3 linked regions of the Nothobranchius furzeri genome follow. The protein of the gene in region 2 binds, or shares a complex with, the protein of the main gene of each other region. Links are inferred from orthologs where the notes say so. Each region holds a gene or a part of one and is shown on either strand. Other genes may lie near its edges.

Region 1 (10,039 bases), on a different chromosome or scaffold from region 2:
CTGTTTCCCTCTGCTGTGAGGACGTCGGTGTGAGCATCCTCCATCTGTCAAAAGGACGTTTCACCCGTGCCGAGTCCAAAATGATAACGTGGCTTTGACAGAAGAATGAAACAATAGCTCTTGCATGAGCGTGATTAAGTGACGCTGTTTCTATTTATATTCAATTTCTCCTGGCAGCAGCATCAGACAAAAACCGTCCTTTATCCTCTAGAAACTCTCAGTCCGAATGATGAGGAGTTGACGGAGAGCTACTTCTTTTACAGATTTCTTGTTTTTGACTTGTTTGTGGGTCACACTAAAATGTTTTAGATCAGCCAGTAACTTAATAATGAACAAAGATGATCTGAGCTAAAGCAAAATGCAGTCAAACGCTACCAAAGGCACCCTTGTCACATATCCATCCCCCTCAACATGATCATTACAAACCACAGGCCTAATTAGCAGCTCAGTGGCCTAGTGGTAGAGTGTCTGCCCTGAGACTGGGAGATCAGGGTTCGATTCCTCATCGGGTCATACCAAAGACTTTGAAAAAATGGGACCCAATGCCTCCCTGCTTGACACTCGGCATTAAGGGGTTGGATTGGGGGGGTTAAACCACCAAATGGTTCCCGAGCGCGGCTGTGTCTGCAGCTCACCGCTCCCCCGGGGGATGGGTCGAATGCGGAGAGCAAATTTCGCACACACATCAGTGTGTGTGACAACTAATGGGACTTTAACTTTTAACTTTAGCACCAGAACTGTAGAATTAAGATGTTACTTCAAAAGAACCTGGCTGACATCATGACACAGGTTGAAAGATCGCAGAAAGCAACACATGGTGCCTCGTAAGAAAATTCAAGCATAAAGGAACCCAGAATGACACCCGAGCGATGTAGAACGAGACAGGAAGAAGAACAGAAAACACTGGAAAAGTCTTCCAATGTGATCAAATTAAAACTATTCTGTGAAGAAGAGTGGGACAAACATCCTTCAGAGGTCTTGCTTTCACGAGCGTTCTCACCAGTTATTAGATTGAGTGATCAAAAACTTTTTCACACAGGACCAGGTTGGTTTGGAAAGCTTTTTCTCCTTCTAAACTAGTTTACTAGTTGAAAATAAGATTTTTAATTTACTCAAAATTGAAGTGTGACAAAACAACAAAAGCAAACGAGGGCAAATACTTTTTTTATAACAGCAGTGTAAACCTCCCCTCTGTAATAATAATAATAATAATAATAATAATAATAATAATAATAATAATAATAATAATAATAATGATACATTTTATTTAAAAGCGCCTTTCAGAACACCCAAGGTCACTTGACAGAAAACACTTAATAAAATACAATAAAACAATAATAAAACCCAAACAAGTAGGCAGATTTAAACATATGTGTTTTGAGTTTTGTTTTGAAAAGGGTAAAACTGTCGGTGTCCTTATTTCTGGGGGAAGTGAGTTCCAGAGACGAGGAGCAGAGCGGCTGAAAGCTCTGCTCCCCATGGTAGCGAGACGGGCAGAAGGAACCGCAAGATGGATGGAAGAAGAAGATCTGAGAGAACGGGATGGGGTGTGAATGCTTATAAGGTCTGAGATATATGGAGGAGAGAGGTTGTGGATTGCTTTGAAGGTATGGAGGAGAATTTTGAAGATGGACCTGAATTTAACTGGGAGCCAGTGAAGCTGTTGGAGAACCGGGGTGATGTGGTGAAAGGAAGGGGTTCTGGTGATAATACGGGCTGCTGAATTCTGGACCAGTTGCAGTTTATGAAGGAGTTTGTTGGGGAGACCATAAAGAAGTGAATTGCAATAGTCGATACGGGAGGTGACGAGGCTGTGGACGAGAATGGCGGCAGTGTGAGGGGTAAGGGAGGGGCGAAGACGGTTTATGGAACGTATGGAAGTATGCTGACTGAATTATGTTATTAATGTGAGCTTGAAAAGAAAGTGAGCTGTCGAGGATGACACCCAGACTCTTGACGTGAGGGGAGGGGGAGACTATGGCGCTGTCAATAGTAAAAGAAAAGCTGTCAGATTTTGAGAGGGTGGATTTAGTGCCAACTAGAAGTTCAGTTTTATTGCCGTTGAGTTTGAGGAAATAAGAGGTGAACCATGATTTGATTTCTGAGAGGCAGAGTGTAAGGGAGGATGGTGGGAGAGTTGAGTTGGGCTTACTGGAAATGTAGAGCTGGGTGTCATCCGCGAAGCAGTGAAACTGGATATTGAATTTGCGGAAGATTTTGCCGATAGGGTAACACACAGGGACGTGAACGCTCACGCACGAGTCAATACCTAAAGCTGCAGCCGGCCACAAATGAGATCATAGCTGAACGTTGGGACGTGTGATCAGGACACTCTCCAGATGAATGTTTATTATGCTCACCTTGAATTTAAAAGGAAGAACGTTCAAAGAAACACACAGCTCCTTTGTATTTGTGTGTGTGTGTGAGTGATGAAACATTAGTTTTCATTGGATGCAAGATTGATGAGGACTATGGAATAAGACTCTGGAGAGGGTCTCACGCTGGAGGTCCAAACCATGAACTTAAATTTAGATCCACTTTGTTCTTGCATGCCAATGTCAGAGAAATGGGCTCTCTGGAGCTCGTCTGTGGTCCAGTGTTCTAGAAAGGACGCTGTTGTTCTGCCGTGCCGTCTGAAACGCAGACGATCCCTCAAACAGCCCAAAATGAAAGAAAGGCTTTCATGGACTAGTCTGTTTAACTCCACAGACGGTCGAGTATGATTCCCCCTGGACTCATGAAACAAGTAATTCACAGATAACGTCTCACCCATGCTCTTATTTTGCTACAGAGAAACCTAAATTGCACTGATTTCAAGGAGGAGCCGATGCAGCGTTCAAAGAACATGCGCTGCTTAGATCTTGAGAAATCTAATTTCTGAATAGAGTGAAAAATGTGGTAGATGACATGAAAATGAGCATGTGTGCGAAACACAAGTCATCGTGTGCACGTCTTAATTTTCTCCCTACTACATAATAGTCTCCGACAGAGACAGGGATCACAAATCTCTCCCTGTCTCGTTAGTAAAACGAGCTAATTAAAAAGCTGTTAATGGTGTGAGAGAAATGAGAAAAATTAACAGCCATAAAAACATATGAAGGTAGAACTAAACAAAATGATTACACAGTCAAATTAAAGAGTTGAAACCACACACACAAGCATCCTACACATCCCTATTTGAGCGTGCAGATTAACAGAGCAGGAAGGAAAAAACAGGAGGAAAAAAAACCCAACAAAAAACAAATGAGTCACTGAAAACCAACTGGGACACACCATGTCACATCCTGAGAGAGAAAGTGAAAGATGCCCTCCTCTTATTGAAGCACAGATGGATCTCCCAATCTGTTATGCAGCAGTGTGCCAAATGACAACTGGTCACCAAACATCTTGCACCTTAGAGCACAGACTTTAATCCCAGCCCGGTTCAGATTAACCAGTTTCGTTTGTGACAAGAAATCAGCACAGAAAAGGCCTGAATGAGTCCAGTTGTTAAAATTAAAGGTCTCAAGCGACCTCTAGCGGGCATGTGGAGAACCTGCACGGTGGATTGACGTAAATTTGGACCGTACTACTATGATAAAGTGTGTGTGTGTGTGGGGGGGGGGGTCCGCTAAATTACAAAGGCTAAAACAGGATTGTTATTGTACATTTTGATTATTTGTTCATATAAAACCACTCAATATACATTAACTTTGTTTTTAAGAGAACCGTGGTCGTAAAAACCTTTATAGACTCTCTTTAAACTGGTCTATTTGACGGATGAAGTGGAACCGCGCAGAGGCGCCTTTTCTGAGCTCACGTTGTCGTGCAAAAAAGGAGCTACGCTATGTAGCCTGATAGGCTTGCTAATGTTTGCGTCCCAAACGGGCTAGTTTACAACAAAAACAAGGCGCAGCAGCATAAAGTCTTATTTTTAAGTGTATTTTTTCAGCATGGCTGCTAAGAAGAAGCGAACACCGAACACACAGAACGACAGCTGGGTTGTTGTTGCTGCAGGTAAGTTTAACTGGGCTGTTCTGTGCTAGGATGCTAAAAACGATAACGGATGATAGCCCTTTTACAATAGCATTCGGTAGCTTGTCTTTTATTCAGACGGAAACCCGGAAACTTAATTCATTTGATAAAACGTAAAAGATAAAGGATTCTGTAATTGTTCAGCATGGGTTATTTTATTTTATTTTATTTTATTTTAATGTGACATTTTCCAGGAAAAACGCATCAAACACTGTAAACAAGGAAGTTCTGCTAGTAGTGGCAAATTTGCACACCCAGATTTCTGATTAGGATTTTAATTATGTGTTAATTGTATTTACAACTTTTTAGTCCTTTTAATTTGTCATCACTTGCCCGTCCCAATGTAGTTCAAGATGAATTTCTTGTTGCAGCATTTGTAAAATGCTAGATCCTTTGTAGTTTAAATCTATGAAATTACAAATACAATCGCCCCCTAAAACATACACAAATTATATATTAAAAACATTAACTTTTTTATTTGCACAAATTAGTTTGAGTGTTCACAGGCATGTGTGGCAGCATTTGATCACATTTATAAAAATAAAACATTTATAAGTTGTTTGTTTAATGTTTTTACTTCTCGTTGTCCTCCACAGAGTCCGTCACAAACACACAGAAGCACGAGAGTGATCCAGCTTTCGTCAGTCTCAAGAATCCCTCCACAGGTTTAACTTTATTTAAAACCAGTTGTGTATTTACATAAAAGGGTTGTTTCCTTTTAGTTTATAAACATGAAATTTTCATAAACGGACAAGACACTTAAACAATATAGAATTATAGCTTAGATTGTAGATTTTGTACTTTTTTATGACTGATTGATCCCAATATCCCAGTGATCTGCTGTAGTAGTAGTTTCTATAATGAGAAGAAGATGAAGTTTGGGTTTTGCATTACTCTAACCCTGAGATTTTAAAATTATTCATCAGTGATGACAAAAACAAATCTAGATACGGAATGCCTTCCCTCTGGACTTATTGCTGATATTTTTCCACTCAGAAAAAATGTCCCACAGATAAGCTGCTGATACGATGTAGCGGTACTTATTCAGGACAGGGGTGGACATTAACTTCAAAACCAACCGGCCAGCCGGGCCGGTAACTCTGAATATTTACCGGCCCCGCCAAGAATCTACCGGCCCCGCAGGTCAGCTGCCAAAACGAGTCAAAATAACAACTGAACCGTTTTAAATGTAATAAACCTTTATTTTGTACACATTCACAAACATAATAACGTATTCAAGTTTGAATTTGTTTGTTCCCTCAACAAAACTCGATTTTATCGTTGCATACTTCCGGCATACAACGCAGTACATCACCAACTCCGCTTTGCTGTATTCGAGCCATAGGCCGTGTTCGAGATGAGCCAGTTCTGTGCAGATTAGACCAGCGGTGATCGGCGAGCAGTGCATGCCGGTTAGATTCGTGTCTGAATTGACGCCGACTTGCTCTGACTTCATGCATACGTAGGCAACGATAACCTCGTGAGATCAAGGCGGCCGCAGATTTTGGAGCAAGGCGCTGCAGTTGCTCTCCCTCGGCTGCAAAACCTAGATGATGACGGGAAACGCCTGGCTCTCACCTGATCTAAGATCTGATTGGTTCATATTTTGATCCAAACATCCGGTGGTAGAACATGAAATGTTAGTCGGTCACATGTATTCTGTAAATCACGTATAGGCCATAAAGAGAAATGTGTTTTGTTTTCTTTTGTCACGTTTCCTATGAGCACACTGAACCTACAGCTGCTAACCTTTACTTACAGTCATGTCTTCATATACAATATATGATATCCACAAGCACGTGAGGATGAGTTTCAGCTGCTAACAGGCACCAGAATTAAAATTGAAAATTGAACAAGTGTGAACGCTAACACAATATCTTCAGCCATCGTCACCCCCGAGCTACACATGCAGGAAAATCCAAGAGATTCAACTGGCAGAAACAACTGGTTCTCTCTCTCTCTCGCTCTCTCTCTCTCACACACACACGTAGAGGAAAAGAGCTGAGAAAACTACAGCTGAGCCGAGGCGCGTCTCGAATGGGGCGCGTCTGATCTGAACTGAGGAGCGGCCGGATTTCGTGAGCAATTCGCTTCTCGGCGCTTTGGGCGCTTCCGCGGCTGGTGTCCCGGGCGAAACGCCGGCTTTCAGCCACTCCCCCCGCTGCTTTGTCTTCTCTCGCCTGTTTTCCAGGCGAGGCGCTGCTCAACTCGAACACGGCCATTCTCTGCGCCTCCAGTCTTCTTTAAACCGCCAAGAATCATTCCACCTACGCACACGCTTCTCTGCTTCATACCGTTTTGAACTGTCTCGCTTCTCCTCACCAGTTTTAAAGCGTTTTGCCGGAGATTTCATCAAGAAATCCCATCCCTGTGGTGGCGCGATCTCCCTGCGTGCTTGTGTGTTTCTAGCGTGGTTCCACTTCGTCTTTAATAGTGAACTTATAGTTCACGTGACTATAACTAGAATGTGCAGTACGTGCACGAATCGTACAAGTGCAGCACGTGGCTAGAGGCGCGCAGGTTCACGCGCGCGAAACGAAAACGGCAGCTTCCTACAGGGCGGGGCCATGATGTAGGTGAAAGCCGGTGTGTAAATGACAAATAAGGCTTGGGCGCCACCCAGGCGGTAAGTCGTCAAGTATTTACCGCCCGACGAGAAAATTTAGCGCCATTGGCGCTCGGGCGCTTTAAAGGTCCACCCCTGCAGGAGCATAAAATGTGTTTTCAGTTTCTCTTTTAAACTGATTAGACTTGATCTCTAGTGCACTACAAACTGATGTTCCCCTAACCTTTTTAAAATACCGTATTTTCCGCACCATAAGGCTCACCTGATTATACGGCGCACAGCCAATCAGCGTCCTAGTTAAAGGTTTGGTCGTCACATAAGGCTCACTGGATCAAAACACGCACCCCGCAAAGCAAACGAGCGTCCCGGTCGGCACAGTTGAGGCAAATTGGGCACTTAGATCAAAGTCAAACGTTACTCCACTCATTGTCTATACTAAAAAATAAATTTCTCCTTATTAAAGTAACATAAATGTCCCAATTTAATGCACGGGTGCTTTTAGCAGCAAGAATGAAGATTTAAACTCTCTTCACCTGGATTTTAACGGCGTCGGTGAGATGGGCCTGCACGGAGTCGCAGATCAGCATGCCTGGATAAGTGTGGAAGAAGCCGTCCTGTCTTTTGGGGTACACCTCCCGCCGCCACGCCGCCATCATGTCCTCATCCATCCAGCCCTTCGGGTTCGCCTTGATGATCACGCCGGCGGGAAACTTTTCTTTGGGTAAAGTTTTCCGCTTTAAGATGACCATCAGCGGCAGCTTCTGGCCATCAGCCTGGCAGGTGAGCACGACTTCTCGTGGCCGGTCGTCCGCACAGACACCGTGCTGGTCCCCATTTTCTCCACGGTCCAGTTCACCAGGATGTCGAAGGTAAGCAGGACCTCGTCCATGTTGGTGATGTGCTGGGGCTGGATGTTTTTGTCTGCCATCTTCTTGGTGCAATAGGAGCGGAACAACTCTAGCTTCTCAGCGTAGTCGGCGGGTAGTTGCTGCGAGACGGTAGTTCTGGTGCGGATAGAAAGCGCTCGCCTCCGCATGAAGCGAAAACACCAGGAAGGGCCTCCTATGAAGTCCCCAATGTCCATCTCTCGTGCTAATGCTGCAGCTTTGAGACGAATGAGACGCTTCTGCTCGCCACTCGCTGCTCTGCGACCCACTGCTCAACTCGGTCTTCAAGCAGCGGCCATCTTGCCTTGTTGCCTCTGAAGCTACGCTGTGTTTTCTTCACCTGCAGCAGCTGGTCTTCCAGCTTTCTCCACTTGCGGACCATCGACTCGTTAATCTTGTATTCTCGCTGCTGCTATGTTTCCATGCTCAACGGCGTGAGCGATGGCTTTGAGCTTGAACTCTGCCTCATAAGCGTGTCTCTTTGCTGGTGCCATGGCTGGTTACCGGTATAGCTGTGTGGAGCAGTGCCACACCTTTTATTTGGTGAGGGTGATAAGGACGGCGCTGGGGGGTACCGCGCTGGGCCAGAGTTACCTTAATACATGTATAAAAGGCACATCCGTATTAAAAGGCGCACTGCCGGTTCAGGGGAAGATCAAAGGTTTTTATTAGCGCCTTATGGTGTGGAAAATATGGTACCTTTGCTAGTTTGAAGTCAAACTTTGACAAAGTACAAAATCAAATGTCACTTCTTTTTGGTAATCGGTAGTAAAACTTGCCTGAGACTCAGTTTTTACCACCTTACTCTGTGCATGTTGACTTTATGATGAACTGATCAGTAAAGTGCATGTGTAAGCGCGAGCTTCAGCTACACAGTTGTCATATCTCAGCAAAGTCTCTGCATGTTTCCCAAGAGCTTTGACATATTTCTACCCTTGTGACCTGCAGAAGTGAAAGTGACACGGTTCCCCTTTCCCCTGCAGATGGAGCCTCTCTGTACCTGCTGGGAAGTGGAGATTTACAGCTGTATGAGGTCAAAGCGTTTGAAGAAGACTTCCACTCCTGGTTTGTTGACCAGACTGTGCAGAGGGGTGGGTCCCATTTCTCATGACCGCTGTCCCGCGGATTCAGCTCAGCCAGTAGGAACAGATTCAGAGTCGGCTCCTTTTGTTTTCTATCTGTGAAAAGTTTGCAGTCAGCTTTCACGTCAGTGCACTTAAAGGTTCAGAGTTCAAATTATCATTTAGAAATGATCTAAAGTATTGTATCAAACACTACATGCCACCAGGTCTGAAAAGCTGATGCTGAACTCTTTAAATGGTAAATAATACAGGTATCTTGTTACTCACATGTATAATTTTTAGGGCTGGGGATAAACGATTATTTTTTAAACGATTATTATGACGATTATTTTATCGATTAGTCGACTATTCTAATTGCTATTAAGATGATTAATCTAACGATTATTTTTTTATTGCACGATTAATAAAAACAAGAAAATCTCAAATTCCTCCAAAAAGTTGATAAATTGTTACTGTAAGAGAATAAACACTACAGACCTTCCATTTTGTATAACACTGTGTTTATTGGTTATGTTCTGGTGACGTGTAGAACTTGGGAGTGCAGGCTGCTGCCTGAGAGGTGGCTGGAGCCGGACTGTCTCCATGCTGCTTTGTTTTGGTCACTTATGTGCGGGAGGGGAGTGGTGTTACGACTCTTCCTGAGGAGTTTGGCTCGTGTGCAAAAAGGAAGGGACAATAACGGGATTTAAAAGTTAAAATGATGATCAGGTTTATTTACAACTACAAAAAAACATAAATCTCTCCATCCACAGGTTGGGAATAATAAAACTAATTCTGCCTGTGGGGAATTAAAACAAAAGTACAAATAAGTAGGGATGTCCCACTGGGCAAAGATTACTGGGTTCTGGACCAAAATAAGGATCTCCAAAGGTCCAAACTCTAAACTGGGTGGTTAAACCAGACTCAAGGTGATATTTTAAACTAAACCGAAACCCACAACACTCTAAATGTAATAAAAGGAAGATCTACACCACAAAAAAGATGAACTCTAAACCAAAACATAACAGCTTATCCAAATGCAAGAAGCTGTTAGCGAAAATGCTAACTGGCTTTACCAACGTTAAGTTCAAGTTACCAAATTTAAATAAACCAAAAACACCCAGCTGAAAGAAGCTCCTTTATGAAGGGAGAAACGCTCCCGGTGATTTTCTACATCTGCGATAGAGACGAAGCAGCGCATCTGACCCCGGAAGTTGTGGTCCATTGCCGGGAGACGAAGGCGGGCAAAACAGGAAAGGAATCTATTTGCGGACGGACATTGTTCCGGGTCTTCAGTATTTGGTGGAGATGTTAGTGAAGGCGGAGAAGAGGGTGAACTAGAGGAGGAAAAACTTTCAGGTTCCTCCTCTTATTTACAAACTCCTGGGGATGCAACAAGTGGGCGTGGTGCGTCGACTACCGGATCTGACATCGACAAATTTTTAGAATCGAGCATCGACGTCATCGACTCCGCTACAGCTCTAATAATTTTAATATATTTGTTTATTTTT
Region 2 (9,855 bases):
AACACACGCATCGTCATCACTACCATTAGGGTATCCGGAGCCGTAGGCCCCATCCATCTCTCCCAGGTCTTCTGGAAACTTCCAGCCTTCGACGGCGTGATCTCTGGCGACCTGCAGAAGACGCTTTAGTTTAAACATCAGCATCAGACCTGATAACCGAGAGGACGCTTCTACAAATATAAAGGTTTATGGACGGAGCTTTGGAGGGAAACTAAAAATGGAAGACAAGTGGGTTTACGTGTTTCTGTGAGAGGAAGCAGTGGTCTGAATAATCAACACCATTAGAAATGTAACCAGATGAACAACGCAGCCCCATCTTTAACTAAACACGGACAAAGGGCGCCGACTGCTGGTGACGCTTACGAACAACCGAGTCACACTGATGGCATCACTAATGTTCTTTCCCAGCAGTCAAAGTGGCAGCAGACGTCTAAATCACATCTAGAACCCGTCTCTCTGACTCCACATGCTTGATGTGAGACAGCTTTGGGAGGAGTTTGAAAAATCAGGGTCAATTGTGGACAAATTAGCACAAAATCAGGATATTTTATGGAAAAACTGTAACAAGAGCCGCAGCACAGGGACTGAAGCAAAAAATTCTCATCTGACTGAAAATAATATGGGGGGGGGGGGGGGGCTCACATTGTTTACACGCAGCCACTATTCGGGTTTGGATTGGTTTTAAGGTCAGTATTCTTGTTTCTGAAAAATTAGGAACAACCCGTTCACACACACACACACACACACACACACACACACACACACACACACACACACACACACAGTGTTTATAAGTGTGGATGTTGAGATTTCTCTGAGGTAAAAAAGATGATGAGTATTAAAGTACTCTAGGGGGGTCGGGGGCATGGCCCCCCTGGAAAAAAATTATTGGACATTTTATATTTAAACGCATCAGTCTGGTGCATTTTGGGGGAAAGTAGAGCTACAGGCTGGTAGTTATGTATGATAAAGTATCTATACATGTTCATTATAATGATATGTTTGAGTTAACAATGTTTTCCTGTCCTTTCTTAATCCATTATGAACACAGACTAGAGTGAAATCCGCTGATGCATCCATGTTGCTCAGCGATTTCCGTCGCCATGACGGAGAGCTTTAATCCCCGCCATAGCATGATGTCATGATTACATCACACACCACACAGGACCCAAACCTATGTTTGTAAACATTTTGACCTTTTTTCTGCACTTATCTGGGTTGTGGGCGGAGCAACCCCAGCAGAGTCCTCGGTCCTCCCCTCAGCTCCACCCGTGGGACCAGACCAGATGTCTGAACCTCCTGGAGGAGCAGCAGCAGCTCCACTCTGAGTCTAAGGCTGATAGCTACCCAACACAGGGAAATCATGCTGTCCTGTTTGTATTCGTGACCTTGGTGACCCGTGTAGGGTGAAGACTGGACCTAAACACCCACCGCTACACTGAGAGCTCCTCCTCTCTGTGACGTAGGCCTGATGCTTCAGCATTGCTGCTCTCATGTCAAACATGTTAAGAACACGAGTGATGTCATGAAGAAAAGGTGCAGGACGACCCACCTTTGCACAGATGCTGGCAGCACTGACGATGGGAAAGAGGGAGTCGGCTTTTGGCCTCACCGTCACCTGGACGCCAGGGAAGTGCTGGGAGAGCTTCTCCTCATACTTCTCTGCTGGGCCGACTGTGTCCACATAAACCTGAGGAAGACCAGATAAACCCGACTGATGGAGAAAAACAGGATGCAGCAAAACTAAATCATAATAAAATGACTGAAAGTTTTGTCTCCTCAGATGTAAAAAGGCCCGTGCCCCGTATGAAGACATGAGGTGAGGTGAACACGAGGACTTGGGGCAACAAGTTCAGAGAAAAAGACTAAATGAGCTAGTTTCCTTCCTACAGCACCGACCTGAATGTGATTTTTACGAGTACCAGGAACGCACAAGCACGGTTTAGAGGTTAAGCATCGCACGTCTCTGGGTTTAGTTGCATCACTTAGTTTACTTTTTACCTAAACAGGGTATCTGCAGGTTTAAGGGAGCCAAATTTAAGACTTTTTAAGAGCTTTTTAAGGCCACTTTGACCAAATTTAAGCTACTTTTTTTAAATTAAATAAGCTATAATTTCCGGCTATTGCCTGAAACCGGTGCTAACCACGTCACGAACGTGGGATTAGCCATCCAGTTACCATTAAACTTGCACTTCCCCATGGCGCAAGCTCCCACTAGCTTAACCAGCTAATGTGCTCATCTAAAAATAGCCCCCTTTCACAACCAACTGAATGTGTACGGTTCCGCTTACGCCAACATCGTACACAACAAATGCTGAACACTAGAAATTCACGAAAATTTTATAGAAATGAAAGAATCTTGTTTATTGGGTCGTTGGTAATTTAAGACCTTTGGAAACTGTATTTAAGGATTATTTGTAATTGTTATGGATTTTTAAGGCCTTAAATTTGAAAAAGCAAATTTAAGACTTAAAGGACCCGCGGATACCCTGCAAAAACATTAGAAAGTCTTCATATGAAATCTTACAAACATTCATCTCTGAATGAGGATTTAAAAAGCTTCTGTCTGTTAGTTTGTTTTGGTCACTTCATAGGTACACGTTTCAAGCTGGATCCACCTCTTCCTTCAGAACCTCTATAATTAGAGATGCTCCGATCCGATCACGTGATCAGAAATCGGGTCCGATCACGTGACTTTCAGGAAATCAGAATCAGGTGAAAAAAATACCTGATTTAATCGTTTCAAACAACAAACGTTACTTTTTTAATTCATGCTGAGAAAGAGATTTTCAACAACGCTGTAGAGCCCCACAATTTAAGGTAGCCCGGGAAATCACACGCCACAACATGTACCTGTTAGCGAACAGGCTAATGCAGAACACAGTCGTCACCTCAAGAGAGAGAAAATGTCTAACGTGGATGTAATTAAAACCAACAGCAAAGGGGGTGTAATAAACACGTGTAATGTGTGCAAACTGGGCATTTAACATGCTGGAAAAGGCCGTGCTGCGTTCAACACTACGTGTGCCACCTTAAAAAACTAACCCTGCTCAGTTCGCTGCTATAATTCAGATAAGCCAGCCCAAACAAACAAAAGATGCGTTAAGAAATTGTCTATGGATAGCAAAAACGCTCAGATCACACTGGATCATTGAGGTTGCAAATGTCCGGTTCTGCGGTCTCCTTGAGTCATGATCTGCTTTCTCTTCCCAACTCTAGAGACGCAGCAGCTCTTCAGGTGCCTTGTAGAAAGAAGTAACCCTGTTGCTGACCGCCATGTGTCGTGCCATCCCTGTCGCACACTATCTGCAATATGGGTGACAAGACTACTTTCAAATATATTCCTAATATTACCTCATTTCTTACTGATGTACTTCCTGAGTGACGAGTAATAAAACAAGTGATGTTTTATGGCAGATAAAACTAAAGAAATGACATAAATACAGAAAGAAAGAAACTCATTAATGATTAAAAACTCTCGAGTGTTTTCCTTTTTTATTAATGCATTTCTAAAGTATTGGATCAGGACTCGGCGTCGCCAGGTTCTTCAAATCAAATTACCCTGAATCAACTAAAATAAACACGATCAGAACATCCCCATCTGTAATCCTTCAGGTCACAGATCCATCTAGCTGTTGGAAACATTCCCCAGAGGTTCTGGTCCATCCTGATGTCAGCTCCATCCATGAGAACCTCCTGTTCCACCTCATCCAAAAGAGGAGATCTGGTGACTGTGGAGGTCATTGGAGTCCAGTGAACTCATGGCCAGTTAGAGATGATCTGAGCTTTGTGACACGGTGCATGATCCTGCTGGAGGAAGCCATCAGAAGATGGGTCCGTGTGGTCCTGAAGGGATGGACATGGTCAGCAACAATATGCAGGTAGGCTGTGGTGGTTCCACCAGGCTCAGATGGGACTGAAGGGTCCAGAGTAGGGCAAGAACATCTCCAGCAGCAGCAGCCTGAAGCACTGATCAAGGCAGGGTGGATCCATGCTTTCATGTTGGTGACACTAAATTCTGAGCCGACCATCTGAATGTTGCAGCTGAAATCCAGACTCATCAGCCCAGGAAAGGTTTTCCAGTCTCTTCTGGTCCAGTTCTGTTGATCCGGTGCGAGTTGTTGCCTCAGTCTCCTGTTCTGAGCTGACAGGCGAGACACCTGGTGTGGTCTTCTGCTGCTGGAGTTTGTCTGGAGCAGCTGGTGCTCCCCTGCAGACCATGGTAGGAGGAACCAGTGCTGATCTGATCCTCCTATCATCTAGAACCAGTTTAACCACTCTCTATGAACTCTATAAATGGTTGTGGGTTCAAATCCCAGAAGATCAGTGGGCTCTGAAATACTCGTCTGTCTGGTACCAACAACCACGACTCATAAATGTTGTTTCTTTTCCATCCTGATGCTCATTTTGAACCTCAGCAGGTCCCGGTGATCAGATGGACCTGCTTGTCTTGCAAGCCAACAACAGATGAAGAGACGTGCCTAATAAAGAGGTCAAACACAACATGCATGCAGCATGTTCATATTCATAGTTCACACACCTCTTTAACTTGAACTCCGCTGTCCAAGGCAAACTGCACCAGGCCGATGGCGGTATCATGCGAGAGGGCGTTGAGGTTGTATTTTGTCCTTGAAACAAATCAAGAGAATATGATTGTGTGTGTGTGTGTGTTTCCATATCCATCACTCGTGTGAGCTCAGTGTGACTAACCTTTGTAACATACTGGTGGAGATAACGTTGGGTGAAAGAATCTGCAGGGCCCAGCCAACGTAGCTTTTGGCTTCTTCCAGTTTTTGGAAGAGATTTTCTCTCTCTGCCTCTGTTAGAGTCTTTGAATCTGATTAAGAAAAAGAGGATGACAAATTGTTTATCACGTTCACACACACACACACACACACACACACACACACACACACACACACGGAAGGGTTTTGCAGTGACCTACTCTGGCGTTTACAGACTTTTTAATAATCTGTAGGAAAAATTCAAACAAACCATCAATGTGATTTTCTTGCAAAATGCAAAAAAATTTCTACCATCAGGTTCAGACTGTCCCTCTGCTCCAAAAGCCCGACAAAAATGATCAGTAAATTATTAAAGTTAAATTTAAAGTCCCATTAGTCATCACACATTGGAGAAATTGATCTCCACCTTTGACCCATCCTCGTAGGGAGCGGTGAGCTGCGGCTGCACTCGGGAACTACTTCAACTCAGTTTCTTTTTATTTATTTTTTTATTTTTATTTTTTTCCCCGTGTCCTGTCTGGCTGTGAAGCAAACAGAATTGATGTCTGACTGCTGGTGACAAGCCTTACAGATTTACTTTCAGGTGGAGCATCAAAGCTTCTGCTTTAATGCCTGATACTTAAAACTTTATTGTTATTGTTTTTTGAATGCTTTATAACTTCAATTTCAAGTCAGTTTTGATTCAATTCAACGTGTGACTGACACGGTAGTTTGTGAACAAGATGAATCTCCTAATTTTTCCAACTGATTCACATAAAGACAGACTGGAACCCCCAAACAAAAACTCTTCTGATCGATACGATTCACATAGACGCCTTATTACTATATATATATATATATATATATATATATATATATATATATATATATATATATATATATATATATATTACTATATATATATATATATATATATATATATATATATATACCACCAGTGTGTGTGACAATATTTTGTTTAATATTATTGTAGTTCGTTTTGTTTACAGCTTTGCTTTCCAATACAGAATATGAAGATTAATAGACTTCAAATTTGCACAAGTTTACGAAAATAAAGATGAAGGTCAGCATGAGCCTGGAATATAAACAAATAAAAATAATTATTACCTGCCACTTTCAAGGCCTTCAGCTCCTCTTTTTGAGATACTGGACAGAAACATATCCCATACACCATAGGCCCTGGAACAAAACCCTGTCAGTATGCATGGAGGAGAGCAGGTTTACTGGGGTTTGTTTTATTTTAACACACCTAGCACAGGCCCTCTGCCCGCCTCATCCACACCCAGACAGCAGTCCTCCGTCCTGCACACGTCCGGGATCTGAGAGGCTAGCCGGCAGCTGACAGAGTTATCAGCTTCAAACGGGCTCAGGTCCATTACTGCTGTCTGGAAGGAAACTCGGCGTTAAAGTGCTTAATGGGATACTATCCCGTTTACCGAGTAACAAAAAACACCTTATTAAGCTTCAAACGTTAATAAAGAACGGATTCTTGTTAGATTTTTCTGGTAGCATCGTTGTACCGGCAGAAATCGTTAATACTATAATAGGTTGTGTTTAATGGGTCACGAGAGAACATTAAACACATATTCATCCCAACAATTCATCTAAAAAGGAAAACGGTACCCTTACCAGCGGTAAATGTGTTCCTCTTCTGCCTTTTTGTGCTTTTGAGCGACACCGATTTTGGCGCCTGGGAGTGACGTCATCACGGACTTCTTCCTATTCTATTTGTGATGCTCAGTAGCGCCCTCATCTGGCCTGGAGACTCACAGCAATAACATCGCTGTGTTTGTAAACGCCTAAATAAGGATTTTCACAATGTGAAACACAAATGAATCAAAATGTATCCGTCATTCTTGTAGATAAATGTATAAAATTACTTTTGTTGCACTATTTTGGTAAAAACTGGACACTAAGGAGGTAACTGACCAAATAGGCTTCAGACTTTTGGAAAAGTTAGAGTGAATTTTGTTTTCCAAGTTTTTCCATTTAGGCAAACAGAAACATGTTGAATAGGATAACAAGTTAAGATAAAACCACGCCCACTCTCACATTTACACATTTGTGTACATATCATTAGACCGTTGTCCAATTCATCAAATGCATTCAAGTTCAACGCTGCTTACATCTCATACATTTTTAGGCAATAAGATAAGTTTCTATAACAATGCGTTTCGAATACATTAAAAGTAGGCTTTCCTCTACTATTTTGAGCAATGAATGAAATTTTATGAGAGTAATAAGTTGTTTATAGCGTAGTCTGTTTGGTAGTCCTTCAGGCTGATCCCAAATATTATAGGTTGTCCAGGGTGAATGTGCCCTGGAGGTGTATTGTAGAAGACAGCCGGTCCCATAAGGCCCCCTAAAAATTATTTGTGTAAATACAATGAAATAATAGATCTGTAGTCTCTGTGTACATATTACTACATCGAAGCTATTGGGAATGCAATAATTTAGGCTAAATCTTTTGTTTATTTTTATTCAGAGCCGTGTCCAGGACTTTTAAAATGGGGTGGCCCATGTGGGGCACTTGTTTATTCATGGGTGGCACCAATGGATATGCTTATTTATTTATTTACACAAATTGTTTATTTGTTTATTTACTTTCTAGTGAATTTTTGAGTTTCACGTTGCACAATCACCATTTTTTCCCCTCTTCATCTTCTACTTTTGTGGTGGTTAGCAAGTCACTTCTTGTTGCATTACTACCACCAACTGGAGTTGAGTGGGACTCTAAATACTATGTATGTGAGTATGAAAAAATATTAAATATTATTAATACTACACGCCTGGGCTAGAAAACAAGGTGAAAGGTGCATGCACCCACACACTATTTTGGAGTTTACAACCCAAGCCTTTTGTCGACGATGTAAAGTCAATACATTGGAACTTAGTGGGGTGGCACCTGGGGTGGCCAATCAGATTCTAAGGGTGGCATGTGCTACCCCAGGCCACTCCCTGGGCACGCCCCTGTTTTTATTGCCTGTTTTGTATAAAACTGAAGTTGGTTCCCTTTTTAAGATACAGAATCAGAAAGGACATTTCCTGCTACTGTTTCCACTCCCTGAGTAGCTTTAATGCGCTCTTGTTATAAAATGGAACAATATGTTGGCATGTGATAATCCAAACTCACAATAAAAAAGTATCCTTCTTTGGACTTTCACTAATCATAAAAAGGCTTCACAAGTCAGTTTATCATAGAGGCTGCTGTTAAGGTAGAGTAATAGTCCAGGTTTGAAGAGTCTTGGTTTAGTGGTTTTATAATTGAAGCAGAATAAATACGCTCAGAGAGCCGAAAAAACCCAATTGTTGGAACGGCCCATCCCGACTCAGAAACTAAAAAAGAGAACCAACTTCAGCTTTGTCTTGTAGCCTATATGTTTTGTTTACTGTTTGTAATATTTCAGTGTCTTGTTTTTCAATTAAAAAAGAAACAAGCTAAATCAGCATATATCTTTGACATCAAAAACTACTTCTGAGTTGATACGCATGCGGGGGTAGTGCACGTTTACACCCGATTTGGCTTCCTCCAGTGCCAAATGTTGATTTGCACAACAAGAAGTTTGAGCTCATGGAAGCTGCAGCTCTGTGAGGGTCTGCTGGGAACATCTGCTGGAGTCTCCTGTCCCACCTCCGACAGAACTTTCAACATCATCCCAGGAGAGCAGGGGACCCTGAGTCAGAGTGGGCCATGTTCCCTTCCTCTATTGTCGAGGTGGCCGGCCAGAGCCACTTACTCTGTGCCTGTCATTGCAACAACCCTCAAACCCATTAGTGGACACCAGCGGTTAAGGATGCTGTCAAGCTGAAGAAAGGGTCCAGTCAGAAAAGGGATGCACTCCCAACGCTGTTTAGAGTGCAGGCGGTGTGTTGCTGACCTCGACTCAAGACATAGTGGATTTGTGGGTAGAGTACTTTGAAGGCCTCCTCAATTCCACCTTCTGGGGACTTTGGGTTGGGCTCTCCGATCTCTGGTGCAGAGGTCACTAAGGTGGCAGGGCTCCAGGGATGGAAGGCAGTTTTTCTGAGTTCCTAAGGTTCTGGATGTTGTGGGGATGTTGATTTATGCAACTCTGCAATCTCTCCTGAACATCTGGGAGAGTTCCGCTTGACTGGCGGACCAGGATGGTGGTACTTCTACTAGAAAAGGGGGATTGCTGGGTGTGTTCCCACTAGAGGGGAAACACACTCCTGAGCCTCCATGGTAAAGCCTATTCAGGGGCTCCGGAATGGAAGCTCTGCTGGATAGTTGCACCTCAGTTTCAGGAAGAGCAATGTAGTTTTCATTCTGGCCGTGGAACACTGGACCAACTCCATCCTGCCGGGTGCGTGGAAGTTTGTACAACCAGTCTACGTGTGATTTTTGGATTTGGAGAAGGTATTCGACTGTCTCTCTCTGGGGAACCTGTGGGGGGTACTTCAGGAGTATGTGGTGCCCAGTCTTTTGATATGAGCTGTCAGGTGTCCTTACGACTGGTGCCAGAGCTTGGTCTGCATTATCGGCAGTAAGTTTGGCTTGTTCGTGGTGAGAGTCTGGACTTCGCCAAGGCTGCCCTTTGTCACCAATTCTGTTTATAACTTTAATGGACATGATTTGTAGGCACAGCCAAGGCGTTCCCTGGCCAGGTGAGAGACATAGTCCCTCCACCGTGTCCTGGGTCTACCTTTAGGCCTCCTCCCGGTTGACGTGCCTGGAAAACCTCACCAGGGAGACGTCCAGGAGGCATCCTGACCAGATGCCTGAGCCACCTCAACTGGCTTCGCTCGATGTGGAGGAGCAGCGGGTCTACTCTGAGCCCCTCCCGGATGACCGAGCTTCTCACCCTATCTCTAAGGGAGAGCCCAGGCGCTCTTCGGAGAAAACTCATTTCGGCCGCTTGTATCTGCGATCTCGTTCTTTTGGTCACTACCCAAAGCTCATGACCATAGGTGAGGGTAGGAACGTAGATTGACCGGTAAATCGAGAGCTTCGCCTTCTGACTCAGCTCTCTCTTCACCACGACAGACCGGTACAACGCCCGCATCGCTGCAGATGCAGCACCAATCCACCTATCGATCTCACGCTCCAGTTTTCCCTCACTCGTGAATAACACCCCGAGATACTTGAACT
Region 3 (9,898 bases), on a different chromosome or scaffold from region 2:
TAAGACAGTGGTTCCCAACCTTTTTCCCAAGGGACCCCGTTTTTTACCAGTAAAATTTTTGACGACCCCCTCCCATTCTCTCTTCCAGTACAAACAGTATTAATAAATGATAAAATTGTTCAAGCACATTTTAATATGCTTTGATTCAATAGATAACAGTAATAGTAGGCTCCAGTGCAGAACAAAGTCATTAACAAAACCAAACAGAGCATAATGTGCTTGACAGTTTGTATTACTTTTCTGAACACATTGTTTCTTGTAAACACTGATAAATCAATCATTCCTTTCAATAAACGTTTGACACATAAAAAATATCACTGAGCAAAATGTACTTAAATGTGTATATTACTGTTTATACTAGATTATTTACTGTAAAGGCTGTGATTAATGAACCAGTCCTATCTTTAATGAACTTTTGACACTTGAAAATAAAACAGTGAGCTGAGCAAAATGTTCTTAAAAGTGTGTTACTTTTTCTGTACTAATTATTTCCTGTCTTAATATCAGTAAACTTTTCACTCATGAAAAAAATGTGAGCAAAATGTAGGCTATAAACAAGTAATAAATGAAGTTTTAACCCCTTAAAGAGCAAGTAACGTCTAAATTAACTTTTTTTTGCTGATGAACTGTATAAATGAGTGTCTAATAGTGTTTTAAATGTGTGTATTCATTATTTTAGCATTTTGGTGCATTTTCTTAAAAAATTAAAAATTCTGCCTAAATACCACAGTATAGCTCCACCTTCAGCTTAAAACATAGAATTTGACTCATTTTGAATAAATTTTAGCCAATGGCTAAAGAGTAAGATACTACGTAATCCAGTAGAGTACTACGTAGCAGCTCTGTGTCAACGTTATAAAAGCATCGGGAGTCTCGGCCACGCCTTGTGGCGAGTTGGGAGTTGGATTTGCATGCGAGTGTAGGAGGCTAGCAGTAGTTCAGCATTAGCATATAGCATTAGCATATCCTAGTCTTTAGCATAGCTTTTAGTGTTATACATACTTATTTAGTGTTAGCTTGGCTGTTGGATATTGTAGTTTAGTTACTGTTTGGCTGTTAGTGTAATTAGGAAAGTAGTTCGGGTTTAGTGCTCCATATCGTGTTAGCATGGTGAGATGGTGTAGTGTAGTATGGTTGCGGAGCTCTGTCGGGTTGCACTCCTTTCCGCTGGACTTAGAAATTAGGCGCCAGTGGTTGCGTGTCTGGAAAAGATTCAGCTCCCGCCTGGTGCTGTAGTTTGCAACCAGCATTTTACCCGCGATTCTGCACGTCTCCGTTCCAAGAGGGAGGCTGTGCCCACCGTGGCTCTTCCGCGATTTAGATACAGCCCACCGACTCTGCTCCCCCACCATGACGGGCTACAGTCTGAGGTGAGTAAGCTAAATAAAAGTTTTAACATCTTCTAAAGACAATTTCCTACCTAAATGCAAAGTTTGAGAGACGTGGTTCACTCCATTTAGCTAATATCAGTCTGCACTGCCTTCGGGCTATTTTGTCAAGTTCACAAAATGTGGAACGGGATGTAAGGTTAGAATCAGCGGCGAATCGGAACATATCTCGAAGCCCTGGCCGACAAAACGGTCCACATGACTGTCAGGCTCAGAGAAAATTCGGGTTGTTTTTGTGTCAGTCGGTAATTCAGCAACAGTGACTCTAAACTGACGCAGCACTAGTTGACAGACATCATTACAGCGTGAAATCCAGCACAGCGTGACCCGGTTCCGTGAGGAATTCTGTTCAGGAGGTCGCATTTCAGGGTCTCCACATCAGTGGAGAGGTCCTGGCGACCCACTGAGAGGCTTTGGCGCCCCCTTGTGGGGGTCGGGACCCCCAGGTTAGGAACCACTGATCTAAGAGAATGAGACCAAACTTCTCTCTACACCTGCGGATTTCCTTCAAAATGTTCTGATTTAATAATTACTCCTTTGCTCAACTTTACTGCATTTCCTCTTTTTTAAACTAAATATGGGAATTTCATGGACATTTTCAAATATATGCTTATAGAACAACTGTTGCACCAGTTCTATTTTTACAGTATTTAACCAACTTGATTCAGTTGAGCCTCCTGAGTTCAGCTCATGTCTTCTTATAATCACCACAGAGATCCCCTCTACTGCAGTGGAGCTCCACAGGAGCAGCTATAATACCAGGCTGTGTGGGCAAAAATGCTTTACTGTACTCACAATGCGGGAGCTGGAGGCCTTTTGCAGCTGGCTTGCCTGGGAAACACATTTCAGCACAAATCATCACAAACACTGACAAATCTAGTTATTTATTTATTTATTTATTTATTGGTGTGTGGAGACACAGCAGCAGCTTACAGAGCGAGCAGATGTTGCAACTTGCTCTCCATCCTGGGAGAAGCAGGCCATCTTTATCATGAACATCCCCACCTGCTGATTGGTTGGAGAATCAGGCATCTCCAGCTGCAAATAGATCCGATAAATCTGGCCAAAGGTCAGCGCCTGCTCACACATTTAACAAAATCTCAATTTAACCGGCGAATTTACTAAACAGTGAGTTGACCATTCAATAGAACAATACAGATAAACTGACATGCTTCTTGTCTCTCATCAAAGAGACGTTGGAGACAGGGTGAGAGCACAAAAAGGAAGATAGAGATTCACAATCTGTCCTGTTGAAAGAAAAATGTAAAGAAATTGTGAAAATTAAGAGGAGGAAAATAAACAACAAGGAGAAACTAGCAGTGATGTACACACCTGTAGTAATAGTGCACAGGTGTGGAGAAGGCTGCCCTGGGCATGTAGGAGTAGTAGAAGCTCCCGTAGAGAAAAGCAGCAACACTGAGGAGCAGAAGTACGATGGAGAAGATGGTGAAGCCCTGTAAAAGTCTCCGACGTGCCTCTAGAATCGCTATGGCAACAGCATCCTGGATCTTCACTAGAGCACGACTAATGATGACTGAAAGTCCCCCCACATCATCTGAAGGCAGATGGCTTTTCTGCTCCATAAATTCTGACCTCTGGAAGGATAAAATCAGAGGAGCGGAACATTTGAACACATTGATTTAAATTATGGAAAAGAAATGAATGAAAGGAGTAAAACAGCCAAAAAGTAACAGTTAGATTTCACAATAATTAAAACTGACGGCTGGAAGGTTCTTGGGTTGAGATTTTCTTGGAATTTAAAGACGAGAAATTATGTACAGACTTATAAAAAGCAGACAGACGACGTTACAAAGTAAGAGAACAATCCTGTACATTCAGAGAGATGCAAACCACTGAGTCCAATCACAGTCATGAGGGAGAATCTTTCATACCATTTGACTCTACAGTATCAGCCTGACGGTAAGGTTTCTGCTCAAAGAGGGAGAAATTAGTCAGGTTTTAAAAGGTGGATAAAAGGTCGGTTACAGTAAGGTCGAGTTATTTAGGTTCTAGTTGTTGTCACTCATGTTAGATTTCATTTCCATTGAAAATCAACATTTTTAAGATGAACTCATAGGCAGGGAGAAGTTTTTAAAAAGTAAACTAAGTATTTTTAAACCAAAAGTTAAAAAAGCATACATCTGAATTACATTTCCTTCTGTCCTTATGAGATGAACTCACCTCTGGTTTCTTTTGGACCAAATATGAGCTGTTGGGAAATCAGACCCGACGTTTCTCAGTCCTCTCTGGTGAAACACAAACAACAGGCTTCAAGGATCTCATCCTCAGTGCCTCTGAGCCCAAAGCGGGACCGGTTTAGTCCAGCCCACAAGGACAGGGGACTCTTCCAACTAGAGCATATATATACATGTCAGTTTTTTCTCCAGTGTCTCCATGAGACCCCTACAGTGTAGATGAGACCCCTACAGTGTAGAACAATGATATAATGATTAAATTAATGAAATGTATATGTTTGATTATTAAAGTTTACATTTGAGTTCATCCTTTTGGGGGGTTTGTGTTAGTTTGCCCTCTTACTGTTTCATAAAGCTTTTTTTAATCTTGTGAATAGGACTTTAATAGATTATTTTATACGTTTTCTATTTCTGACTCTGATTGGCAGCTCCTCACCTGCTTGGTTCATCATAAATTCACATGTGGCTACTTTACTGATCAGCAGATGATTAGGTAAATAAATTGTAAATGTTTTCTGTGTAGTTCACATTTGCCATTTTAAAGTTTTCTTTCATGAAATGCTGCTTTAGCAGGGATGTTTGCTGTCCTTGCAAAAAACAAACAAAAACAAAAACATTACCCTGAACTACTCGGCACTAAGCATGTTTAATATTTAGTTACACCCTCTCTGGGTGGTGACAATATGTATTTGACCAATTTAGCAAACATTTTGGTGATTTTTTCCCCCCAAGAAGATGATTCAGCAAGATTATCATACTGTTTGACACTCATTTTTTTTAAGTCAACCTTAAATTGTATAAATTATAATATTGGCAGTGACAAAACATATTTTTTTAAAAACTAAAACTAGCTTTTAGTTTATTAACTCAATATTCCTCCTAGCACTTCAATGTTCCCTGTCCCACTGGTTGCAGTTCAGGTCCAAATAATGAAATATTTTATCTAGGGTATTTTAGCTCAAAGGTTTTTATTTATTTAGATAAAACACGAATTACTCGTATACGTAATGAACAAAAATAAACCCACTAATGTGATCTCCAAGTCTCACACATTTCTAAGTAAAAAGTAAAAAAGAAATTTCTTATTTTTCATTGTTGAACGTCAAAGCCAAGTTAAACCTCACCAACAGGGGGCGATAATCTGCGACAGAACGGAAACACCTCGCCAAAATGTCCTTGAAGTAGAAGAAGAAAAATTTTATCCAATCAAACGAGTGTCTCACATTATGCGGAAGTAGTTCCGTTACGCGTTTGGAAAACAGTAGAAAGGTAAACGTGGAGATTTATTTATCCAACGTTAGTTTAAACGGTTTAACTACATGTATAATAGTGTTTGAGCAGAACAAAAAGTCCTGGGTAATAATGTAGTTTTAATCCTGTAGTAGGGAAGTGTTTATGTGATGCAGCATTTAAATTTATTTTCAGCTTTTGAATTTCCCTCTAAATAACTTCAGTAACTATTATTTACTTTGTCTAACAAACTGTTTTTAATGTCAGTTCTAGTGAGTGCAGAAAACATTTGTGTTTAGATGACGATGGTGATAGTAGTTATAATGAAAACAGGACATAAATATAGTTTGACAGTAGAGGAAAAAGGAAATAAAGAGATAAATACAAGGGAGTATGGCGTGTTTTCCTAAAAAGGACAAAAGTAATAATAGAAATGTAAATATATTATTTTTAGATGAAGGTTCTGCATTTATTTACACCTAAAAGAAGAGATGAAGCCATCTAATGCGTATAAATAACAATTATATCAATAGAAAAGCAAATAGCCAACCACCAAGTTGTGATCTACGCTCAGATTAAGTCATGTTAGGCTTTGTGTTGCTCAGAGAAAAAGGAAGAGACCTCTGCAGCAGAAAAAAATCTTGTTTGGAAAATGTCTAAAATGACTCTTTTAGTGTAATCTGTTCAGTCTCTTGTGTTCTGGCTACAGGATGAGCTGTAACACCAGTGTAACACATCTTGATGTGACTTCACTGGGGCAGGTCAAACAGGCCCAGGTCCACCTCATGCCCTGTGAGATTGAGTATAATGGACCTGCCCGGGTCTCAGAATATTTTACTTCTACTACAAAAGACCGTAAACAAGGTACACAGTCTCACATCTGTTACTTGTAACATGTCTCTACTGGCGGTCCGTGTCGCTTACTACAAGTATCTAACTTTCAGTAGTTTAGTTAGTCCAGCAACAGTTTATCATTTAGTTTTCTAATTACAGAGAAGACGGTGTCATTCAGAGGACGTGGTCTGAAAGGACAGGAAATCAGCTGTCCACAGGGCTACACAGGCCTGGTGTTGAAGGAGATCAACAAGCATGGCTCTGACCAGGAGGTAAACATCAAACACTTAAGGCGATTTTCTGTCATTTCTACATGTTAATTTATACGTGTGTGTGTGTGTGTGTGTGTGTCCCCAGGACAGGACAGTGAGGGTATCATCTGTGTTTAACAAACTCACCTACTGGAACCTGGAAACTCCTCCAACCTCTGATGATACTGTGGTGATGGCCATGGACTGGCCTGAGCTTGCAGATGCTGTAAGTTAATTAGTCTAACTTTATCTGGATGATGGAAAGATTAAACTGAACAGCTGTGACTTTACTTATAATCTCTGACATATAAGGTAAAGCTGGAATGTGAGCACGTGTAGGAGCAACATTTACTTGTTCCTATTTGCCTAAACACAAACTTCATTAGGAACTAAGAACTATAGAAAACACAAGCTGGTGTATGGATTTGAAGTTGGATGATACTGTTTTGTTTTTTCACAGATCCACGGGCCGGTAGCTGAATGAACAGACTGATAAAACACCCTGTTAGGGCTGATGTCTCTTCAGCTTTTTCCAAGTGGTACACATCTTGCTGCCAGCTAACCAACGATAACAGAGCCAGCTATTATATTGTACCAATTATTGCTCACATTTTATTAAAAAAAATTGTAAATAAAGACAAAACATTACTGGCTGGTATATTGTGTGATTTAATGGAAAACAGCCACATTTGTGCCACCTTCACAAGATTATTTTTATTCACAACAATTAGATTTTGGACGTTCACAACCAAAAAAACACTAAATATTCACCGCCTTTGATCACTTTCAAAGTCATTGGCTTGTATGCTAAATTCTGCTCACACTTCACTGTACACATTTCAAAAAGTTCTTCAGGCACAGTCCAACTTTACATTATATAAATAAGGCAGAAACGTGCACGTGTGTGTGCACTAGAAAAGGGTCACACTTGGTAAAACAGAACTAACAGCGGATCCCTTCATTTTAATTCAAACTGAAGTGGAAAAATAGAATTAGAGATCTGGATGAAAACTGTCAACACTTGTTGAGTATAAACTGCTTTTTTATTACTAAATTTATCTTAATTTTAAGAGATTGTCCTGTTTTCTAAGAAGTACCACATGTTTGTTACATACGTCCTACAGCTGCAACAGTAATACACCCCCACTCCCCCAGCACTCTGGCTCACGTTGAAAGAATAAAAGACGAGGTGAAAGAAAACACTTTGGCACACTGGATAAATACAGCTTACAGTGAATCTATTATTGAACAAAGCGCATTAAAAACAGAAAAACTAAAGTTATAAAACGTTTTTTTAACTAGATATTTTAAACACGTTTGCCTCTTGCTGGGCTCGGTTGGATTAACCCTGTAAAACATGACATCACCACTACATTTGCTGGTACAGTCACACAGACAGGACAGTCATGTATCAAAACCTATTGAATTATAACTATAGCTTTCCGTTATATACATTAACATGGCAAACACTTGACATTATTCTATTAAGACATTAAAATACAGCTCCTTAATAATCATCCATTCTTACGATGTCTGGTGTAAGAATGTTTAATTGAACAATGCACAAGAAAAATGGTTCAAATGACAAACCTAGACTGTAAAAAGCCTCTTAAATATGACTAAATGTAGCATGGCAGGTACCAGATCAGCATCGCACTTGTGTTACACGCTGATGGTGACATCAGACAAGATAAACTGAATAAAACTGCTCCAACGCTGGGGGTTATGCTGCAAGACTTACGGTGTATTTGTGCTTTGGTGGTGGAGGGAAAGTTGCAAAGTTGTTGCAGTTTTCTTTTGAAATGGTAACATTTAGTGTTTTTAGATAACTAGACTATTTTTAAACACAGTTAACCTGAAGATGAGAGATAACAAATAGTTTTAATAAAATATCTTAAAAGTCCGAGATGGTACGGCTCCCATCTACCTGAATCCTCTTGCAAAGGCTTACGTCTCGGCCCGGCCGCTCCGGTCATCACAGGATCGTCGGCTAGCAGTGCCTACACCACGCTCAGGACAATCCAGACTCTTCTCATGCATCGTTCCACAAACGTGGAATGACCTTCCAAGCACTACAAGAACAGGGTCTTCCTTTTCAATTTTCAAGAAACTCCTGAAGACCCTGCTCTTCAGAGAGCATCTTCTAAACTAGCACCCTCCCTGCACCCGTCCCCCCTCTCTACTGTCCACTCCTTGTTCCCTCCTCTCCTTGACTGATGTCAAGTTGTTGTTGTTATTGTTGTTGTTAGCCTCAAGGGCAACATGCCAATTATCACTTGTAAGTCGCTTTGGACAAAAGCGTCTGCTAAATACATAAACATAAACAAAATATTTAGTAAATGATAAAAGTGGCATTTAACATTAGGGTAGACGTAAACTAGTGTCAGAGGAGCTCTGATAGTGTGTGTTAGCTAAGAGGCGGAGGTGGTTGTTGTGGTAAAGAGGGCTCAGAGTGAGCCTTGCTGCGTTTTGCTGGCAGACTCTGGTCGTGGGCTTTACGAATGTGTCGATACAAGTCACCCGACTGTGTGTAGCTTCTGTAGCAGTAGCGACACTCATATGGACGTTCGCGTGTGTGCACAATGGCATGGCGCCTTAGAGTGTATGTACATGAGAACGTCTTTCCACAGGCGCTGCATGTTGGGACATCTTCCACAAAGTTGCCCATAGAATCCTGGAGCTCTTGGAAGTAAGCAGGAGGGTCTGACTGCTGCTGAGATGTGGACGGAGGAATGAGAGACGCAGCAAAGGAGGAAGCTTCCTGTGAGGACGGTCCAGCGCCAGAAGAAGAGGAAGATGGAGAGAGGGGGAAGGAGTAGTCATTTGAATGGGTGGTGATTTGTAAGAGGGCCTGTGAATGAGAGGAGAGAAACTGAGGGCTGCTCATCTCTTCATCCTGGATATCTTCCTCAAACTCATCTTCCACGTCCATCACTGACTCTCCTTCCCTTCCTTCCTCGTTCTCCTCTTCTAGCTCTTCATCAGAAATAACAATGGCCTCCTCTTTAACTTTTACAGCCCCTCTATCTTGGTTTGTACTAAGTCTGGGGTGAGAACGTTTTTTTCTAGTAGTAGGCGAAGCTTCAGTGTCCACTGGCCTTTGAAGTGTAAGAGACTGAGAAGCATGTTGGCAGTCCAAACTCTGGCGCTGGAGCGATATTGCGCTCTGAATCCTGATTTGGGGAGTTTGCTGAACTGCTGAGTCTCCTGGGTTTGTTTGGAAGTTTGCTGTGAGAGTTGGTGCTTGGACTGATACAACCATCTGATGTTCTCTATGGTCAGTGTGTCTAAGGTCAGACTCAGATGAATTCTCAGGAGAGTGATCACGGGGAGGCTGGAGCTCATCTGGGTGTGTGCTGACGGGGGGACGAGATCCTGACTGGTTAAAAGCAGCTACTGAGCGACCGCCAGCCTGGCTCACTGGGACCAGAGTGGAGGAGGAGGAGGAGGGTTGCTGGCTACGGCTATGGCTGGTGAAAAATTAACAAAATAATGGAGCCTGTCAGTTACAAGAAGAAGAATGTTCATCAATACTTTAAATGAGAAATATTTCAATAAAACATTCCTATTATGAAATGCTGTAAGGATTTACATGGTTGAAACCATAACATGAAAGAACGTGTGTAATAAAATAAAAGATGAGGGAATAAAACACACAACTCAGACTGGTGATCTCAGCCAAAACAACTGTCACTCAATCAAGTTGACCCAGACACGTAATTTGATTGGCTAAAAGCTACTCGACTTGACTGAGTGACGATTACTTTGGCTTGGGTCACCAGGATTCACCGCAGATGTTGAATTTTCGAAAGATAAGATGTAATTTTTGCTGGTGTATTTTAAGTTAAAAAAACAACGTAATTTTACACGATAAAAATTCAATGCCGTTAATTAAATATCTAAAATAAATCATATTCTGGAGAGACTGCATTTTTTCCATAGGCCTAATATAAATAATCATAAATTCAGAAACCCTGAAATAATAAAGACATCTACTAAA

What was found.
Region 1: the proteins of rnaseh2a (region 2) and rnaseh2b are in contact, whole or in part, in a crystal structure (PDB 3PUF), measured with the Homo sapiens proteins. The link is inferred for Nothobranchius furzeri from reciprocal best matches to the Homo sapiens genes RNASEH2A and RNASEH2B. Residues at the interface, in NP_006388.2 of Homo sapiens: Val227, Phe228, Ile253, Trp254, Glu255, Ser284, His285, Tyr287, Phe288, Arg291, Gly292, Leu293, Glu294, Ser295, Ala296, Thr297, Ser298, Leu299; in NP_078846.2 of Homo sapiens: His16, Phe18, Lys39, Asn42, Gly48, Ala49, Ile50, Val63, Lys64, Val65, Phe66, Lys67, His70, Phe74, Val79, His86, Phe87, Val183, Tyr211, Gly214, Leu215, Asp218, Tyr219.
Region 3: the proteins of rnaseh2a (region 2) and rnaseh2c are in contact, whole or in part, in a crystal structure (PDB 3PUF), measured with the Homo sapiens proteins. The link is inferred for Nothobranchius furzeri from reciprocal best matches to the Homo sapiens genes RNASEH2A and RNASEH2C. Residues at the interface, in NP_006388.2 of Homo sapiens: Thr11, Asn99, Ser102, Thr103, Leu106, Gly107, Arg108, Val109, Val196, Glu197, Lys198, Leu199, Glu225, Pro226, Val227, Phe228, Gly229, Phe230, Pro231, Gln232, Phe236, Leu245, Ala249, Glu250, Asp251, Val252, Ile253, Trp254, Glu255, Asp256; in NP_115569.2 of Homo sapiens: Pro33, Cys34, Glu35, Val36, Ala37, Val38, Ala42, Pro43, Val44, Gly45, Arg46, Phe47, Phe48, Pro50, Ala51, Arg53, Ser62, Phe63, Arg64, Gly65, Arg66, Cys67, Leu68, Leu134, Glu135, Thr136, Lys143, Gly146, Ala147, Thr149.

Annotation. Positions count from the first base shown.
Region 1 is NC_091754.1:26,817,539-26,827,577, forward strand, and holds the start of rnaseh2b (ribonuclease H2 subunit B), read left to right. Parts: upstream 1-3,573; 5' UTR 3,574-3,932; coding exon 3,933-3,996; intron 3,997-4,610; coding exon 4,611-4,679; intron 4,680-8,450; coding exon 8,451-8,558; intron 8,559-10,039. UniProt on the Homo sapiens protein: Non catalytic subunit of RNase H2, an endonuclease that specifically degrades the RNA of RNA:DNA hybrids. Participates in DNA replication, possibly by mediating the removal of lagging-strand Okazaki fragment RNA primers during DNA replication.
Region 2 is NC_091747.1:71,084,656-71,094,510, reverse strand, and holds the start of rnaseh2a (ribonuclease H2 subunit A), read right to left. Parts: upstream 6,481-9,855; 5' UTR 6,375-6,480; intron 6,131-6,374; 5' UTR 6,122-6,130; coding exon 5,995-6,121; intron 5,925-5,994; coding exon 5,853-5,924; intron 4,838-5,852; coding exon 4,711-4,837; intron 4,629-4,710; coding exon 4,541-4,628; intron 1,691-4,540; coding exon 1,553-1,690; intron 112-1,552; coding exon 24-111; intron 1-23. UniProt on the Homo sapiens protein: Catalytic subunit of RNase HII, an endonuclease that specifically degrades the RNA of RNA:DNA hybrids. Participates in DNA replication, possibly by mediating the removal of lagging-strand Okazaki fragment RNA primers during DNA replication.
Region 3 is NC_091741.1:88,183,291-88,193,188, forward strand, and holds rnaseh2c (ribonuclease H2 subunit C), read left to right. Parts: upstream 1-4,449; 5' UTR 4,450-4,852; intron 4,853-5,522; 5' UTR 5,523-5,523; coding exon 5,524-5,677; intron 5,678-5,806; coding exon 5,807-5,919; intron 5,920-6,004; coding exon 6,005-6,124; intron 6,125-6,358; coding exon 6,359-6,382; 3' UTR 6,383-6,546; downstream 6,547-9,898. Other genes in the region: seipin, read right to left, coding at 2,184-2,219, 2,322-2,465, 2,557-2,635, 2,721-2,971; zbtb3 (zinc finger and BTB domain-containing protein 3), read right to left, coding at 8,306-9,368.